Ovis aries: one gene and its partners. The protein of the gene in region 3 purifies or fractionates together with the protein of the main gene of each other region. This does not show direct contact. Links are inferred from orthologs where the notes say so. Each region holds a gene or a part of one and is shown on either strand. Other genes may lie near its edges. The genes, in order: NFKBIA, TNIP2, REL and NFKBIB.

What was found.
Region 1: the proteins of REL (region 3) and NFKBIA purify together in Homo sapiens (affinity purification with mass spectrometry; 6 studies listed by BioGRID and IntAct, counting the BioPlex papers as one, with this or other methods). This does not show direct contact. The link is inferred for Ovis aries from reciprocal best matches to the Homo sapiens genes REL and NFKBIA.
Region 2: the proteins of REL (region 3) and TNIP2 purify together in Homo sapiens (affinity purification with mass spectrometry; 3 studies listed by BioGRID and IntAct, counting the BioPlex papers as one, with this or other methods). This does not show direct contact. The link is inferred for Ovis aries from reciprocal best matches to the Homo sapiens genes REL and TNIP2.
Region 4: the proteins of REL (region 3) and NFKBIB purify together in Homo sapiens (affinity purification with mass spectrometry; 7 studies listed by BioGRID and IntAct, counting the BioPlex papers as one, with this or other methods). This does not show direct contact. The link is inferred for Ovis aries from reciprocal best matches to the Homo sapiens genes REL and NFKBIB.

What each region holds. Positions count from the first base shown.
Region 1 is NC_056071.1:43,394,544-43,398,814, reverse strand, and holds the start of NFKBIA (NF-kappa-B inhibitor alpha), read left to right. Parts: upstream 1-1,467; 5' UTR 1,468-1,555; coding exon 1,556-1,782; intron 1,783-2,403; coding exon 2,404-2,512; intron 2,513-2,840; coding exon 2,841-3,051; intron 3,052-3,441; coding exon 3,442-3,530; intron 3,531-3,653; coding exon 3,654-3,914; intron 3,915-4,271. UniProt on the Homo sapiens protein: Inhibits the activity of dimeric NF-kappa-B/REL complexes by trapping REL (RELA/p65 and NFKB1/p50) dimers in the cytoplasm by masking their nuclear localization signals.
Region 2 is NC_056059.1:116,696,607-116,700,674, forward strand, and holds the start of TNIP2 (TNFAIP3-interacting protein 2), read left to right. Parts: upstream 1-1,233; 5' UTR 1,234-1,343; coding exon 1,344-1,622; intron 1,623-4,068. UniProt on the Homo sapiens protein: Inhibits NF-kappa-B activation by blocking the interaction of RIPK1 with its downstream effector NEMO/IKBKG.
Region 3 is NC_056056.1:63,129,139-63,133,272, forward strand, and holds the start of REL (proto-oncogene c-Rel), read right to left. Parts: upstream 2,844-4,134; 5' UTR 2,528-2,843; coding exon 2,518-2,527; intron 1-2,517. UniProt on the Homo sapiens protein: Proto-oncogene that may play a role in differentiation and lymphopoiesis.
Region 4 is NC_056067.1:47,982,133-47,986,250, forward strand, and holds the start of NFKBIB (NF-kappa-B inhibitor beta), read left to right. Parts: upstream 1-1,306; 5' UTR 1,307-1,371; coding exon 1,372-1,550; intron 1,551-3,778; exon of another isoform or gene 3,779-3,851; intron 3,852-4,118. Other genes in the region: SIRT2 (NAD-dependent protein deacetylase sirtuin-2), read right to left, coding at 37-83, 918-933. UniProt on the Homo sapiens protein: Inhibits NF-kappa-B by complexing with and trapping it in the cytoplasm.

The DNA of each region.
Region 1 (4,271 bases), on a different chromosome or scaffold from region 3:
TATTCTGAAGAACTCTGACCCAAGTTTCTTTATTTTGCTTGGACCAATTCTAGAAATAGATGAATGCATACCTCTCATTGACTAGGAGGTGGGGGGGGCGCAGAGAGCCTAGGTTCTATTTCTGCAGGTGAGAGGAGGGTGGTGAGCCTGGAGTGGCTACCCATATGGCAAGCATGGGTCCCATGCATGTCTCTCCCAGGCAGGAGAGCAAGGAGCCAGCAGAGGCAGGATGAAGGGCACCATGGGCTGCCTTGAGCCTCCTGCACTATGCCTGGCAGCTAATTTCTTAGCCATCCATAAGGCCTCATCTTGGATAAGGCACTACTCTACCCATTCTTCAGCCACCTTCCCCAAATGCTTCTGCAAAGTCACCCAGCAGAGGACCCAGAAGTATGCTCAGGGTCTGTTCCCTGCAGCAGCACAGTGCAGAGCAGGGAACCCGACCTCCATAATTATTTCCTTACTTCAAGGGATTTACAGCCTCTGCTACAAAGACTCATACCTTGCTTTCCTTGAAAAATACCATGGTTGTTTTCACCGTTTTCCTGCATACAGGGCAGAGTGCTTGCCTCTCCTCCAGTCAACAGGATTGATAATCCCAAGGAAATGATTTGACGGTTCCCCAGTGGCAACCCACTCCAGTGTTCTTGCCTGGAGAATCCCAGGGATGGGGCAGCCTGGTGTGCTGTTGTCTCGGGGTCACACTGAGTCGGACACAACTGAAGCGACTTAGCAGCAGCAGTAGCAGCAATCATTTAGGCTTTTAATGCCAAAAGCTTTAGAAACTTCTACCCGGGGGTCGGGCGGTGGGGGTGGGAGTGGAGAGTGGGCTGGGGCTGGCTATTCAGCCGGTGCCTACAATGCTAAGAGCCTGGTACTGGCAGGAAGGCAGAGGCAGCCACCTTCCACCGACCAGTGCGTCCTCCCCGCAGAGAGCTTTGGGGAAGTGAATCCCTACACCCGGCCAACATTTCCACTCGCGTTTTCAAAAGATTTAAAAAAAAACCGGAAAAGACCTGCAGGTCGGTAAACCCCAGTGAAGAACCAGCCTGCAGGCCTGCGTCTTTGGGATCTCAGCAGCTGACGACCCTAAATCAAATCGATCAAATCGGGAAAACCCAGGGAAAGAGAGCTTCTTGCAGAGGGCCAGGATTACTGCGTGCAGGTTGCAGGGAAGTACCCGGGGAGGGGGCCCGGTCAGGAGGACTTTCCAGCCACTCAGCGTTCATCAAAAAGTTCCCTGTACATGACCCCAGTGGCTCATCACAGGGAGTTTCTCTGATGAACTCGGGCGCGGGGTTTAGGCTTCTTTTTCCCCCTAGCAGAGGACGAGGCCAGTTCTCTTTTCTGGTCTGACTGGCTTGGAAATTCCCCGCGCCTGACCCCGCCCCGGAGAAATCCCCTGCCAGCGCTTATAGGGCGCCGCGGCGGCGCTGCCGAGCCCACAACAGTCCTAGCCCGTCGTCCCGCTCGCCCGCGACTCCGAGAGCAGCCAGAGCGCAGCGCAGCCCGCGGCCCGTGCACTGGGGAGCAGCGCCCGAGCCTTCACCGCGCCATGTTCCAGCCTGCCGAGCCCGGCCAAGATTGGGCCATGGAGGGCCCCCGGGACGCGCTCAAGAAGGAGAGGCTGCTGGACGACCGCCACGACAGCGGCCTGGACTCCATGAAGGACGAGGAGTATGAGCAGATGGTGAAGGAGCTGCGAGAGATCCGCCTCGAGCCGCAGGAGGCGCCGCGCGGCGCCGAGCCCTGGAAACAGCAGCTCACCGAGGACGGAGACTCGTAAGTGTCGCGGGCCCGGGTGGCAGGGCCGGGTGGAGGCGCTGGGCCTGCAGCCCCAGGCGCGGGGCCCGCGCAGCGGCCGCGCACCGGGGTTCGTGCACCGACCCCGAGGCTGTGCAAAGGTGCACGGCTGCCTGCGGGGCCGGGGGCCGGGGCGGGGGGGGCGGGTCGGGGGTCGGCGCTGGTTTCCGGGGCCGTGGTCCCGCGGCCCTGCGTTGCAGCCGCGCGCACCCCCCGCACGCACACCCCCGTGCGGGTCCCCTCGGCCGGAGGCGGGGCGGCGGCGGGGACGCGAAGTCCCCGCTTGCATAAGGGGGGGGCGGGAGTTTCTGCCCCGCTGGCGGGCGCCGCGCGGCCGGGAGGGGAAGTACAGGGCGTTCCGGCCGGGCGAGAGGGCGGGGCGGTCTGGCCGGCGCCCGCCGCCGAGCGCGGGGGGGGCGGGGGGCCGGAAAGTCCCTGGGCGCCTGCCAGGAACACTCAGCTCATAATAACCTCGCGGAAAACACCGCGGCCTCGGCCTCCAGAAACCCCGGCCTTGCGCAATCCCCCGCGGGCCGCGCCTCCCCGGGCCCCACGCAGTGCACTCACCAGCCCTGGGGGTTTTCCCTCTCTTCCCCTCAGGTTCCTGCACTTGGCCATCATCCATGAAGAGAAGGCCCTCACCATGGAAGTGGTCCGCCAAGTGAAGGGAGACCTGGCCTTCCTCAACTTCCAGAACAACCTGCAGCAGGTACTGCTCTCCCGCCGCGTACCTCTCTCTCCCGCTCTGACCCCGAGATAAAACCGGGTCTTGCACATGATTTCTAGATTAACAAAGGTTTGGGCATTATCTGCCCTGATTTTTTACACCTGTGTCAGCCAGTATTCTAGAACACAAAATTCCATTGATTTGGGAAGGCCTTTATGAAGCCCATCTGGGGCCTCTGGTATTTTGCTTTGCCCCTGGTATGCGCCTGGGAAAAGCAGCACCCACAACCAAGATATCTCTGGGGTTCAAGGGAACACAGATGGTGGGTTGGATCCATGGCTTATCCTTTCTGTCCCTCTTCTGTTTGTAGACGCCACTCCACTTGGCTGTGATCACTAACCAGCCAGAAATTGCTGAGGCACTTCTGGAAGCTGGCTGTGATCCTGAGCTCCGAGACTTTCGAGGAAATACCCCCCTACACCTTGCCTGTGAGCAGGGCTGCCTGGCCAGTGTGGGAGTCCTGACTCAGCCCCGGGGAACCCAGCAGCTCCACTCCATTCTGCAGGCCACCAACTACAATGGTATGTCTGGCTGTCCTGCCCATCAGAGGGCAGGTGAGGTGGACACGGGGGAGGCAGGCTGACTTAAGGAGGCCAAGCAAGGCCTAAGCTCTCAACATATGAAAGATGGAGAAAACATGTATAAAGGCCTAGTTGATGCCTTTCTAAAGTCCATTCAGAACCCAGATTCTGAGCTCTTCAAATTAAGAATGTATCCTTCAAAAGAATAGGGATATATGTATACCTATGGCTGATCCATGTTGATGTATGGCAGAAACCAATACAATATTGTAATTATCCTTCAATTGAAAATAATAAATGAAGAAAAAAAAAGAATAGGTGAAAGCTTCTGCTTGAGAAATGAGTGTTGAAACAAGTAGTTATAATACTGTCTTACTTTTGGTCTTCTAGGCCACACGTGTCTGCACTTGGCCTCTATTCATGGCTACCTGGGCATCGTGGAGCTGTTGGTGTCCTTGGGCGCTGATGTCAACGCTCAGGTCAGTGCCTCACACCTTCAAATGGGGTACATCAGGCCACCCTGGTCCTCAATACGAGGGCTTTTGCTGCAAGCAGAACTTCCAAACTCAGCCATAAGCATCTTGAATTCCTTATGGTTCCAGGAGCCCTGCAATGGCCGAACTGCCCTCCATCTGGCAGTGGACCTGCAGAATCCCGACCTGGTGTCACTCCTGTTGAAGTGTGGGGCTGATGTCAACAGAGTCACCTACCAGGGCTACTCCCCGTACCAGCTCACGTGGGGCCGCCCCAGCACCCGGATACAGCAGCAGCTGGGCCAGCTGACCCTAGAGAACCTTCAGACACTGCCAGAGAGCGAGGATGAGGAAAGCTATGACACCGAATCAGAGTTCACAGAAGATGAGGTGAGTCCCAATTAACTTGTTCATGGCTTTGCAAAAAGAAAGGAGAGAGGCCATTCTCCCTCCCCCTTCTAAGGCTCCTAGAGTTCCTCCTTATCCTGAGGGTCTCAATGTAATGAGCCTCTCAAGCTTGAGTATGTGTAAGCAGAATCCCAAGAGCATGTCTTTTTTTTTTTTTTTTTTTTGGCTCTTGTTGAAGGAGGATCCTTAAAGGAAAACTCCCTCAGCCCAGGAAATTCATTTACATTCAGTGTATAGAGAATGGGGTCCAGGAATACTTGAGTTATTTCCAGTAACAGCCCACCCCATCATCCTAGCACCCTCGGAAAAGCCCTGCGAGTTTAACATGCCTTTTTTTCT
Region 2 (4,068 bases), on a different chromosome or scaffold from region 3:
TCTCCGAGCCCTAACCACGCGGCCTGCGGGCGTGTGGGCACAGGCACCCTGTACTGCGTCCCCCAGTCTCCACAACACACCTGAGGGGTGGGGGCAGCCAGCCTTGACCTCTCTGCAGCGGAGGAGGTGTGAGCTGGCTACACTTATAATTCTGATTATACCAGCTTGTGAGTGTCTTCCCTGGGCTCAGCCCAAGCTCGGGTATGGATTATGTAGAGGGGGAAAAAACGCCACGCTGCTCTCAGGGGACCCAGGGACGGGGGCAGAGAAGGGTGTGCCAGGGAACCTTCGAAAGACCACAGGTGTGCTTGGGCATTACAGTGGAGGACACTCGGAGTCTGAAAAAGTAAACAGCCGTGGAGCCATGGGAAAACCCTCGGAGTCGGCCTGGGAGCCGGCAGATGGAGCGGATGGAGAAACAGGGCAGGAAAGGGCCAGCTCCCTCCTGCCTTCTACCCTAAGAGCAGTTCTTACACCTCGGAGAGGGGATGCGGGCTCTGGAATCTCGCTGGTGGGCTGGGTACCTCGCCGGGCTCAGTTCCTGGAAGGCCGCCCTTTTCCCGGTGCTCGGCGTGGCAGCCGGCCTGCAGCCCAGGGGTCCGGGCCCACGCTCGGGGCTAACACTCGGGGTCGTCTCTCTGGCCACTTCTTTTCCTTCCGTCAGGAGCGAAATAGAGGCCGTTTGACCCCTCTCCTTGTCCGCGCCTGACTCGCTGAAAGCTCCCGCGACACGAGCCGATGAGGCTGCTGGGACAGGCCAGGAACCGCGGGTGGAGCGGCCGCAGGACCCGGGCGGGTGGGGACCCTGCGTGGCCAAGGTCCGCGCGGCAGGCAGGGTCCAGATCTCCTCGGGGGCGGGGCCTGGCGGCTCGGCGAGGGCGGGACCCAGCTGCCCGCGGGGCGGGGCCTGCCGGCTCGGCGGGAGGCGGGTCAGGCTCTCCGTGGGGGCGGGGTCTTGCGGCTCGGCGAGGGCGGGGGCACGCTGTCCGTGGGGGCGGGGTCTTGCGGCTCGGCGAGGGCGGGGGCACGCCGTCTGCGGGGGGCGGGGCCAGCCTCTCGGCGGGGGCGGGAGCACGCTGTCCGCGGGGGGCGGGGCCAGCCTCTCGGCGGGGGCGGGGGCACGCTGTCCGCGGGGGGCGGGGCCAGCCTCTCGGCGGGGGCGGGAGCACGCTGTCCGCGGGGGGCGGGGCCAGCCTCTCGGCGCGGGGCGGGCCCGGGATCTCCGCGGAGGGCGGGGCGCGCCGGGAAAAGTTCCGGGAAGGTGGGCCGCCCCACTGCTCCCCCGGCCCAGACCCGGCACGGAAGTTGCCGGCGGTCCGCGCCTCCGGGACGGGTCCGCAGCCATGTCGTCCGGGGATGCGGAGTCCGGGGGGCGGGAGGGCGCCCCGAGCGCGGCTGCCGCGCTTTGCGGCCTGTACCACGAGGCGGGGCAGCGGCTGAAGCGCCTGCAAGACCAGCTGGCGGCCCGGGACGCCCTCATCGCGCGCCTCCGCGCCCGGCTCGCCGCGCTCGAGGGGGACACGGCGCCGTCGCTCGTGGACGCGCTGCTGGAGCAGGTGGCGCGCTTCCGGGAGCAGCTGCGGCAGCGGGACGGCGGCGCCGCGGAGGCCGCGCTGCGCCAGGTGCGGGGCGGCGGGGCCGGGCTTCCCGGGGGCTTCCCGGGGGCTCCCGGGGGCGCGTGTGCCCGTCGGGCGTGAGGCGTGCGTGGTCTGCCGCGGCGGAGCCGCTGCGTGTGGGGTTCTGGGCGGTGCGCGCCGCGAGGGGTGTAAGGGCTGAGCGTCGAGCCGGGCTCTGCCGTGCGTGTGCGCCTTGGCTCAGGGGCTGTGCGTGCGTGTGCTGGCTTTTGAGGCGTCTGAGCCTTGCTGCGTCTGAAGGAGTGTGTCTCGCTCCCTCAGGTTCTGAGAGGTGTGTGTGCCAGTTAGTCTGGGGGCCGTGTGACCCTGTCGGTTGGGAGGGGTTTGTCCTCTCTGACGATATGGGATGGATGTCGAGGTGGGTCTGAGGGCTGTGTGCGTGTTGGTGTGTGTGCGGCGTTACCCTGTGGGGCCTGAGGGGCGTGTCTGTCCCAGCGTCGGGTCTGAGGGGTGGTTGCGACCATGTTGGGTGCTTCGTGCTGTGTGTGTGTGTGTGTGTGTGCGTGTCATTTCTCAGGTGAGTGTGCGTTGGCTTCTGGGGGGTGTGTGTGGCTTTGCTGAGTCTGGCGGTTGTGTGTCCCGAAGGTTCTGAGGAGTGTGTGTGCCCATGTTGTGGTGTGCTTGCGCGGCGCGTGGGCTCTATGGGATCTGCGCTCCTCTTAAGGGTTGTGTGGTTCTGAGGGTTTGTACGTTCGGTTGTGCTGAGCCGTCTGCTCCCTGGTTGGCTTCTGAGGGATGTGTGTGTCTGTGTGGTTCTGAGGCTTGCCCCTGTTGGGATCCGCCCATTTTGGTCCTGAAGGGTACGTGTGTCTGTGCTGGTTTTGAGGAGTGTGTGTTTCTGTGTTGGGTTCTGGAGGATTCTGCTCGGAGAGGTTGTGTGCCTCTTAGATCTGAGGGTTGTTGCGTCGCTGCTGGCTCTCGGGTGTGTGTCAGGCTCGTTATCTGCTCCCATGTTGGGGCTGAGGACTGTGTCTCCCCGGGCTCCGTTCTGAGAGGTGTTGGTGCTCCTATCGATTCTAGAGGCTGTGTGTCTGTAGCAGCTCTGAGTGGTGTGTGTGTGGGTTTGGGGTGCTGGGTGTGTTTACCCCTACTGGGTCTGAGATGTGTGTGTGCGCCTGTGCAGAGTCTGGGGGTGTGTCTGCGCCCGTGGTGGGTTCTGAAGGGTGATGGTCCCTGGCTGTGGTGAGGGCTGTGTGCCTGTGTTGTGTCTGAGGGTTACGTGCGCCCATATGAATTCTAAGGAGTGTGTGGTTGCATTGTTTTTAATTAGCTTGTTTACAGTTTATTTTTAATCGGAGGATAATTGCTTCTGCCATAGGTCACGCGAGTCAGCCGTGGGGACACTTATGTCCCCTGCCTCCTGCCCCACCCCATCCCCCTCTCTAGGTTGTTACAGAGCGTTGAATGGGAGCTGTGTCATACAGCAGCTTCCCATCGTGAAACAGTGGCTGTCTGTCTACACACAGTGATGTCTGTGCTGCTCTGAATCCATCCCGCTCTCCTTCCCGCTTTGTGTTGGTTGTGAGGTGTATTTGTACATGCTGGTGTCTGAGCGGTGTGCCTGGAGTCTGCGGCTTGTGAGTCTGTCCTGAAGGGTTTGTTCCTATGTTGGGTTTTGATGGTTGTGTGTGTCCGTGTTGTGTCTGATGGGTGTGTGCTCATGGTGGGTCTGAGGGTTGTGTGTCCGTGTTGTGTCTGTCTCGGGAGTCTGCCTGTCTGTGTTGGGGGTGAGGGCTGTGCGTGCTGGCTCTGAAGGGCGTCTGCGTTTGCTGGGTTCTGGGTGGAGTATTCCCATATGCGTCTGAGGAGTGTGCTTGTCTCTGCTGGTTTCTGAAGCGTGTATGTCCTGTGTGGTGTGTGTGTCTGTGTGTGTGTTTTGGGTTCTGAGGGGCGTGGGCACTCGTTTGGGCTCTGGGAGGTGTATGTGTGTGTTGGATTCTGTAGGTTGTCTTGTCTGTGATGGTTCTGAGGCTTGTGCGTGTGCCGGTATTGATTCTGATGGTTGTGTACCAGCTGAATTCAGAGGGACCTGCTCCCATGTTGGGTCTGAGGGGTGCGTGCCTGTGTTGGGTCTGAGGGATGAGTGTGGGTGTTGTTTGTATCTGGATTGTGTGTGCGCGTGAGAGGCTCTGTGTGTGTGTGTGTGTTCATGTGGAGTCCTGCGCTGTGTGTGCAGGCACCGGGCTGGGTGTGTGTGTAGCGCGTGGCTGTAGGCTCCTCGTGTGTGGGGGCTGTGTTGGGTTCAGGGCCATGTGGACCCTAATGTCCTGGGTCTCTTTTAGCCCTAGTTGTGAATGTATCTTTCAGTAGTAACACCTCTGCTCTGCAGGGAGTGATGACAGAGTGGGAAGCTGCCGGAGTGTCTAAAAGCCGACTTAAATCCTTACTTTCCTGCTTTCTTATCCTTGCCATTGATATTATGTCTGTCTGCATG
Region 3 (4,134 bases):
CTAAAACAATACTATAAATCAACTATATTCCAATTTAAAAAATAATAATTTTTAAAACTGTAAGTAAAAATAAATTATCTAAATTTGAATACATATTTTACCAAAGACAGTACTATTTATTAGTAAACAAAGCACACAAAAACATTTGCACCTTCTACTGGAATAAGGAGAAGCTTTAAATTCAGACCAAAAAATAGCTAATTTTATTTACCTTAAAACAGATTAGAATCATAAATATACAAGAGTAAGGACTGCTTATGTATACCTTGGATGGGACTGAGAACTTCTTTTTAATGCCTATCCTAATTAACTGTGTCAAAAGAATGGAATCAAGGTGTAATTAAAAAAAAAAAGTAATCAAGACAGCTTGATAGAACTCAAGCTGTGAAATCCTAAATATGACAGTTTAACTGAACAAAATTTAGAATCATACATATAGTCCCAGTTATTCATAGTACTTATATAATTTTATTTATGAGATTATGATGTTACTGTCATATTATACAGACCATATATTCAACTACAGACACCTATTTACATATAACATCCGGTGAGAAATGAAGAAACAGTCTTAAATGCTTGGTAATCAATAAAAATACTTTCTGAGGTTTTTATACTCTGTACTACAAACTATAAACTAGACAATGGTAAACTAAGCAGAAGTTTTTTTCAGTTACTCTTTTGCTTAAATTACTGTTTCAAAACAGGATGGGAGCTTATAATTTTGTGAATCTTTTTCTCTAAGATTTTTACAAATGATTAAGGAAAGTACACCCAGATTTTTCCTTAGTAGTTTTCAAACAACAGAATTACAATTTAAATAACTTGTTACATTTTAAATAGTGTCATTTTAATATAATTCCAGAAAAGGGGAGGGTGATAATTACCCTTTAAAATTTTCCCCCCTCAATTTAGGAAATCAGTCCTCTCACTAAGACAAAAACAAATGTCAGTTTTAAACAAGTTTAAATTGTACCACATTTTTAAATGATGTGGGTCTTACAATAGTCCATATAAATGGCTAATTCTTCTTTCTCTCTTTTGAATGGATTACAAGTGTTACATTCACACCATATATCAACAAAGTTTGGTTAAATTACCAGAAGGCTGATTTTTCTGTTTACTTTATTATGCTAACCATTCTTTAACTTTCATACAAAATCCTTCTGAGAGTCAATAAATTAACCAAGTGTTTCAATCATCTTTGCACTTTTAATCTCAACATGGTCTGAATTTATGAATTTACAAGATTATCTGAAAGTTTAGGGTCACTGAAGTGGCTAAAGAGAAAGTTGAAATATTTTAAACTACATTTGTATTCTCACAGAAAACCACAGACAAACTGAAATCAAATGTCATGTGAACCACCCCAATTTCCTTTTTGGCCTAGAGCAGTAGCTACCTCTTTGTTCTGCTCAACCCTGTTTTTAAAAAAAAAAAGTCCTTTATGCTTTCTACTTCCTCTTCTCTGGTAGTCCTCAGTTTTCTACTGTGGGTCACTGAACCAGGGTGTTGGGAGGATGCAGGTCAAACATAAACAAGCCTCCTTCTTCAGCCTCCTGTTGTCTTCAGCCTCTGCGTTAATCCACACTTTAGGCCTCCTTGCCTCTGCTCACTCTTGCAGGGAAGGTGCCTCCAAGAACCGTGACAGACTCCTGTGAAGGTCCCACTCCAAAGCAGCCTACTTGATTTAGTAACCCTTAGGTTGCAGGCTAACCTAAACCACAGCTGGATGGGGAGGCTCCCTCCCGCATCCTTTAAGCAGTTTCTAGGTAAAGCAAGAGATCCCCGCATTTACTGTCTACAAATAAGTATTCACGTAAGTGACAGAAAGTTTTCATTCTCACCCGTTACTTTAAAGCACGGGGATCCTAAAAATCCTCTTTTCCCCTTCCTTCCAACAAAAGAGAACAAAACTCGATTTCTGCTCCATAAATTAAAAAGTACGCACTTTACAGTAAAAATGATCCACTTGTTGAAGCAACATTTCCACTTAAGACTTGTTAAAATACCACTGGTGATTTTTAAAGGCGCGTCACATTTGTCCAACTGTCAGCACAACTGCGATCACCTCTTGGCAACTGATGAAACTGAACTTAAAAAAAGATAAGCTCTCCTGAGACCGGAAGGTTCCTCATTCCTATTCTAAAACGAAACACCACCATTTCAACTTAAATCAATTTAAAAATACGGGAACTCTTTCGTCCTCCTTTATTTAGATTCTTATTACTTCCTTAATCCAAAAACAAAGTCTTCTGGAAGGTCTAAGGTTCCGGCTATTACAATGGCATCAAGTTACAGAGCGTGACTTCGATTTCGCACGCAAACCCTGAACCAGGTCACTTTTAAAAGGCTGACAAACTTACCAGAGGCGATTTTAAAAACAGAATGAGACATAACCAAAACTGGGCCCCCGAAACCCTGAGTAGTTAGATCCTCGGACGCACTCCTTCGCTCCCCGCTGTCCGGGACCCTGCCCACGCCCGGCCGTCGGTAGCCCGCGCCGGGAACACTCACCTGAGGCCATTGCTCCGCTCACAGCGCCGCCCCGCTCCGAGCGTCCGGACCGGAGGCCGCTACAGTCACTCAGCCCGTCAGTCGGGCCGCCCAGGGACCTCTGCTGGCGGGATCCCCAGTCCCCCTGACCACCCCCGGGCCTCCTCCTCCTCCTCCTTCCCGCCCTCCTCTGGATTTGCGGCTCACACCTTCCCACCCGCTTAATCCTCGCGCTCCGGTCACCCGGCGTCGCTCGTCCAGGTGGCAGAAGCCAGAAGACGGAGCGCAGCTACAGCGGAGAGCAGGTCTGCCTGAGAGGCGGACAGCCCAGCGGGAGGGGGACTTCCAGAGACTGACGTAGGATCCCTCACCTCCGTACCCCGGGGCGGGGGCGGGGGCGGAGGCGGAGCGTCCTGCGACCGGCGCGCGAGCGTCCGCCGACCGCTGCCGGGCCCCGTCCCGCCCATGCCCCGCCCACCCGCCCGTCTCCTGAATGCCGGGTGGGCTCGGGAACCGGTCGGGGAAGCTGCCTCTCCGGGAACGTAGGGAACGCTGGGAGCCGGGGAGTGACGGCCCCGAGCGTGCGAAAGCCGCCGGTCCCCGAGAAATCCCCCTCCTCCAGGATGTTCTTGGGCGCGTGGCTTAAAGTTCAGGAGGGGTGGGAGGGTGCGGTGACGTCGAGAAGGGCCGGCTGCCCTCCCGCGAGCACTTCGGGGCGGGCCCTCCCCTCCCAGGCTAGGGGGAACGACGGTCGGGGTTTTCGTTGGGTGGTTCCCCCTCTTCCCTCTGTCGCACATGCAAATCTCCGCCCCCGGACCGGCGGGCGGCGCAGCGCGGGCGTCCCGGAGCGCCCTCGAGGGGAAGTGCGGAAGCTGCCGCGGCCTCGGTGAGCCTGTAATTCAGGTATTTGCATACGGGGACCCCCGCAGTCTGATATACCTTTGCAACATCTCCTTTGTGAGGACTCTGTTAACGTACTTGACAAACTAAAAAACTTTTCAAGCTAGTAAGGTCCGCAGTGTGAGTTCGTTTCCTCGTTACTCAGTGCTCCAAGTTAATGAAGTGGACACCCCATTGGGATTTGACAGACTCACAAGGAAAGGACGAACGTGTAGCATCAGAATCTAGGATAACTTTTGTTTCCTTCCTGTATAAAGAATTTTGTATGTGTCAGTTTAGTTACCCCCTTTATAATGAATTATTATCCTCATTTTATAGATGAGGCAATCAGGGTTCAGAGAAGTAACTTGCCTGTACATCAGAATGCTAGTAAGAAAGAACAGTTTAAACTCAAGGTTTCGGACTCCAGAACTCCGTGCTCTTTCCACTTTCCTTTACCGTTTAAAATAAGTATGGAGGGGCAATGGGAGCTATCAGCCATACAAGTGCCCAAACTGGAGGCCCCAGTTGGGAAATAATTAAAAATAAACTCTCCTGTCACCACCCCCAACCAAAGCATCCTTTCCACAAAATATAGAAAACAATGAAACAGTTTTATGATTAGCATAAGCCGTAAACCATATTGTGATGCACTTAAGAGACCGCAAAGAGAAAAAGGAAATCTCACTCGTTTATATCATCAGATAGATGCAATCAACTACAATGCCTGTTGTCTTTCTCCCAAGGGAAAATAATCGG
Region 4 (4,118 bases), on a different chromosome or scaffold from region 3:
TCTCTCTCCTTCCCTCCACCCTTGTCCCCATCTCACCTGAGCCTCCTGCACCTTCCCTGCCTGGGTCTCCTCAGGGTCAGAGGCTGGGGGAGGAGGGGGAGCAGACGTGGTTACAGTGAAGGGATTGGTTAAGGGGGAATGAAGGGCTTCTAAGTCGGGGTAGAGAGGGGCAACAAGACCTCCAACCTAGTTATATGGGGTGGGGGTATCAAAAGGGAGTAGATGGAGGGAGGGAAAGGAAGAAAAGCAGATCTTATTAGAGTGGAGAGTGCTGGGAGGAGAGGTGGTTGGTGAAGGACAAAGAGGCTGGGACATGGAGGCTTAGGAAAGCGAAAAGAAAGTAAAGCATATAAGGGCATGAAGGAAGACTTAGGAGGAGTTAGGAAGGACACAGTAGTGTGTGAGTGTGTGCTGGGAGGGTTAGGTTTACAAGCAGAAGAAAATGTAGAAAGAAAGAGAAGATAAGGGATACTGGGGCTGGAGGCAAGTTTGCAAGAAGAGGTGGTGGGGGCGGAACGGAAGGGCGAGATGGCAGGTTTACAAGAGGAAGGAAGAGATAGGAGGGGACACCAGGGGTCCCCAGCACCCTACAGTTCCCACTAACAACCAGGTACCCTTAGCAACCCGGACAGCGGTATTCTAAGTCCCTAGTAACAAGGGTCCTTAGCAACTAAGGTGCGAGACACACGCTATCATTAGTCACTTAGGGGAAGTGGCAAACGGACCCTTAAAACCTCGAGACCCAGAAACCCACCAATCTATCCAGCAATATATATCACAACGGCTCCCTGAACCTCATTCCCCTCCATGCAGCCCCCATCTCCTGCCCCACCACTCCCGCCCTCGGGCCCCGGGGCCTGCAGCCCTCAGCCAGGCCCCGGCGCGGCCCGACCCTCCCACCAGGGCCCCCGACTCACGATCCGGATCGGCCATGGGCGCGGGGCGGGGGCCCTCGGGACTGTCACCGACTGCTCTATCCCGTGACGGCACCGGAAACAGGAGGGGGGCAGAGATAGGTCAAAGAACTACAACTCCCAGGAGGCATAGAAAAACGTCCGGAGCGTGCCCCTCTGAGGTAAGAAGAGACACGCGAGAGCCGGACTACGAATCCCAGAGTGCCTCGCGTCCGCAGCCATGTTGGTAAAGGGCGCGCGGAATGAGTGGGAAAGGGTAGAGAGTCGCAGTCCATCTGAATACTCTGATTGGTCACGGTGTAGTATGAGGGCGGGGCGCTTACTATTTAGCCGACTCTGATTGGATGAGTCCGGGGGGAGTGTTGGGGAATTCCCAGCAGGGCGGAAGCGCCAGAATTCCAGGCAGAGCCCAGCGACTGGCGGGCAGCCGCTGGGGTCCCCTGAGGCTTTGGGGGCTATGGCCGGGGTCGCGTGTTTGGGGAAAGCTGCGGACGCCGATGAATGGTGCGACAGCGGCCTGGGCTCTCTGGGTCCGGACGCGGCGGCCCCTGGAGGACCTGGGCTAGGCGCGGAGCTGGGCCCGGGGCTGTCGTGGGCGCCCCTCGTTTTCGGCTACGTCACTGAGGATGGCGACACGTGAGTGAACCTTAGCCTGCCACACCGAGCCTTAGGATGATCCCACATCTGATTCCCTGTTAGTCCCTGATACTGATTTTCCAACCTCTTAATCCTAAATCTGTCTTCTAATGCTTACTCTGACCTCTAACCCCCGAGTCTAACCCTTGATAAAATCAATTTCCAAGCTAGTTTTTATCATAACCCCGTCCTTTCTGAAACTTTGGCCCTCAGAGTTTCATATCCATTGACTAATTCCACATTCAAAACTCAATTTGAGCTTCCTGACCCCAGTCCTGAGACCTATCTTAAAACTATAGCTCACAGGCTCCTTCTGACATCTCACCTCCAAATATGATCTTTGATCCTTAGCTCCTAATTTAGGAGCTTTAAATTTTGATTTCCAAAATTAACATTTGGCTTTTGACTCTAAGATCTCCCACTTTCTGAGCACTGATCTTCAAATCCTACATTGAAAGAGAAAATGTAAACTCTATGACAGCAAGGATTCATCTGTTAAACAAGTATTTATCTAGCACCTACAGCGTTTCAGGCCCAGTTGTAGATGCTGGTGATAAAGCAGTGAAGAAAGCACAACAACTTATGCCTTGTGGAGCTTACGTTCTAGTGTGGGGGGTCTATAAATGGAAGGGCAGACAGACTGACAGGAAGGAAGAAAGGAACAGTAGGAGAAACAAAAAAGAAAGAGAGAAGGAAAGAAAGAAACAGAGAGCCGTATAGACACAAAGTAAGAAAGAGAGAGGAGAGAGAGAAGAAACAGGCAGAAAAACGAACGAAAGAAAAATGGTGTGTCAGAAGACAGGAATTTCCTTGGTGAAAAATAAAGCAGGAAAGAATGAGACAAGTAGATTATCTGGGGAGAGTATTCCAGGTAGAAGGAACGACGTCATAAAGACCTAATTGAGGGAATGTACCCGGGGTTTTTGTGTGTTGTGTTTACTGCCGTAGCCCCAGTGACAGAACGGTGTTTGACCCATAGGAGGCGCTCAAGAAACACCGGTCTTCCCAGAGAACCAGCTGTGCTTTCATTTATTTTCTCTCGTCTCTTTTTTTGCTTTCTGTTGTGTTTATCTCTGTTTTGACTTTCGTTATTTACTTTCTTCTGCTTACTTTGAGTTTATTTTTGTTCTTTTTCTAGTTTCTTAAGGTGAAAGCTGAGGTCATTGATTTGAGGCCTTCCTATTTTTCTAATATAGGATTCATGTGAATTTCCCGAAGTAGTGCGTGAGCTGTATCTCATCACTTCTAATGTGCTGTGCTTTCATTTCCACTTAATTCAGTATAGTTTCTAATTTCTCCTTTGATTTCTTCTTTGGGCGGTGGATTATTTAGGAGTATGTTATTTAGTTTCCAGATATTCCGAATACCTTCCTTTTATTGGTTTGTAGTTAAATTCTATTGTGTGTGCAGTTGAAAAGAATGTCTGGTATCTTGTTGTTGAGTGTAGTTCTCCAGATGTCAGTTAGAGGTTGTATGGGTTTCTTTTCTAAAACTTTTATTGATTTACTTTTGGCTGTGCTTCGTCTTTCTTGCTGCCCACGGACTTTCTCTAGTTGCGGTGTGAGGGCCTCTCATTTTGGTGGTTTCTCTTGTTGCGGAGCAGTGTCTCTAGGGCACAGGCGCAGTAGTTGCTTCGCGTTGGTTTAGTTTCCCCGAGGCATGTGGGATCTTCCCGGATTAAAGACTGAGCCTGTGTTCCCTACCTTGGCAGGTGGATTCTTTAGCACTAGACCTGTAAGTCCTGTGCTGGTTTCTTTGGTTCTTCTCTTTTCCAAGTCTATTATATCCTTGCTGGTAATTTCTCTCTACTTGATCTATCAGTTACTGAGAGTAAGGTATTGAAATCTTTAATAATAATTGTGGGTTTCCTTGTTGTTTTATCAGGTTTTCCTTCATGAGACTGGATGCTCTGTTATAAGGAGTGCAAATGTTTAGGTTTATTGTGTCCTCTTCCTGAACTGACCTCTTTATCATTGTGAAATAATCTGCACTATCCCAGGTAATATTCCTTGCTCTGAAATCTTACTCTTATTTTAAAACACTCCTACTTACTTTTGACTGACAGGCGTTAGTATGGTATATCTTTTTCCATCTTTTTATTCTTAACTTAGTTTTAAATTTATTTGAAAAGCTGTTACTTGTATAGTTAGGTTTTGCTTTTTAAAAAAAAATGTTTATTTTTAATTTATTTGGCTGCATCGGCTCTAGTTGCAGCATGTGGGATCTTGTTCCCTGACCAGGGATTGAACCCTGGCCCTCTGCATTGGAAGTGCAACGTCTTAACCACTAAACCATCAGGGAAGACCCTAGGTTTTGCTTTTTTATCCACTCTGACAGCTTCTCCTTTTTTAAAATTTGTGTTTATTTAGCTGTTTCTTTTTGGCTGCACTGGGTCTTGGTTGCTGCACACAGGCTTTGTCTAGTTGTGGCGAGCGGGGTATGCTCTCTAGCTGTGCTGTGCAGGCTTCGCATAGTGGTGGTCTCACTTGTTGGGGAGCACGGGCTCTAGAGCACACAGGCAGTTGTGGCACGTGGCGTTAGTTGCCCCACGGCATGTGGAATCTTCCC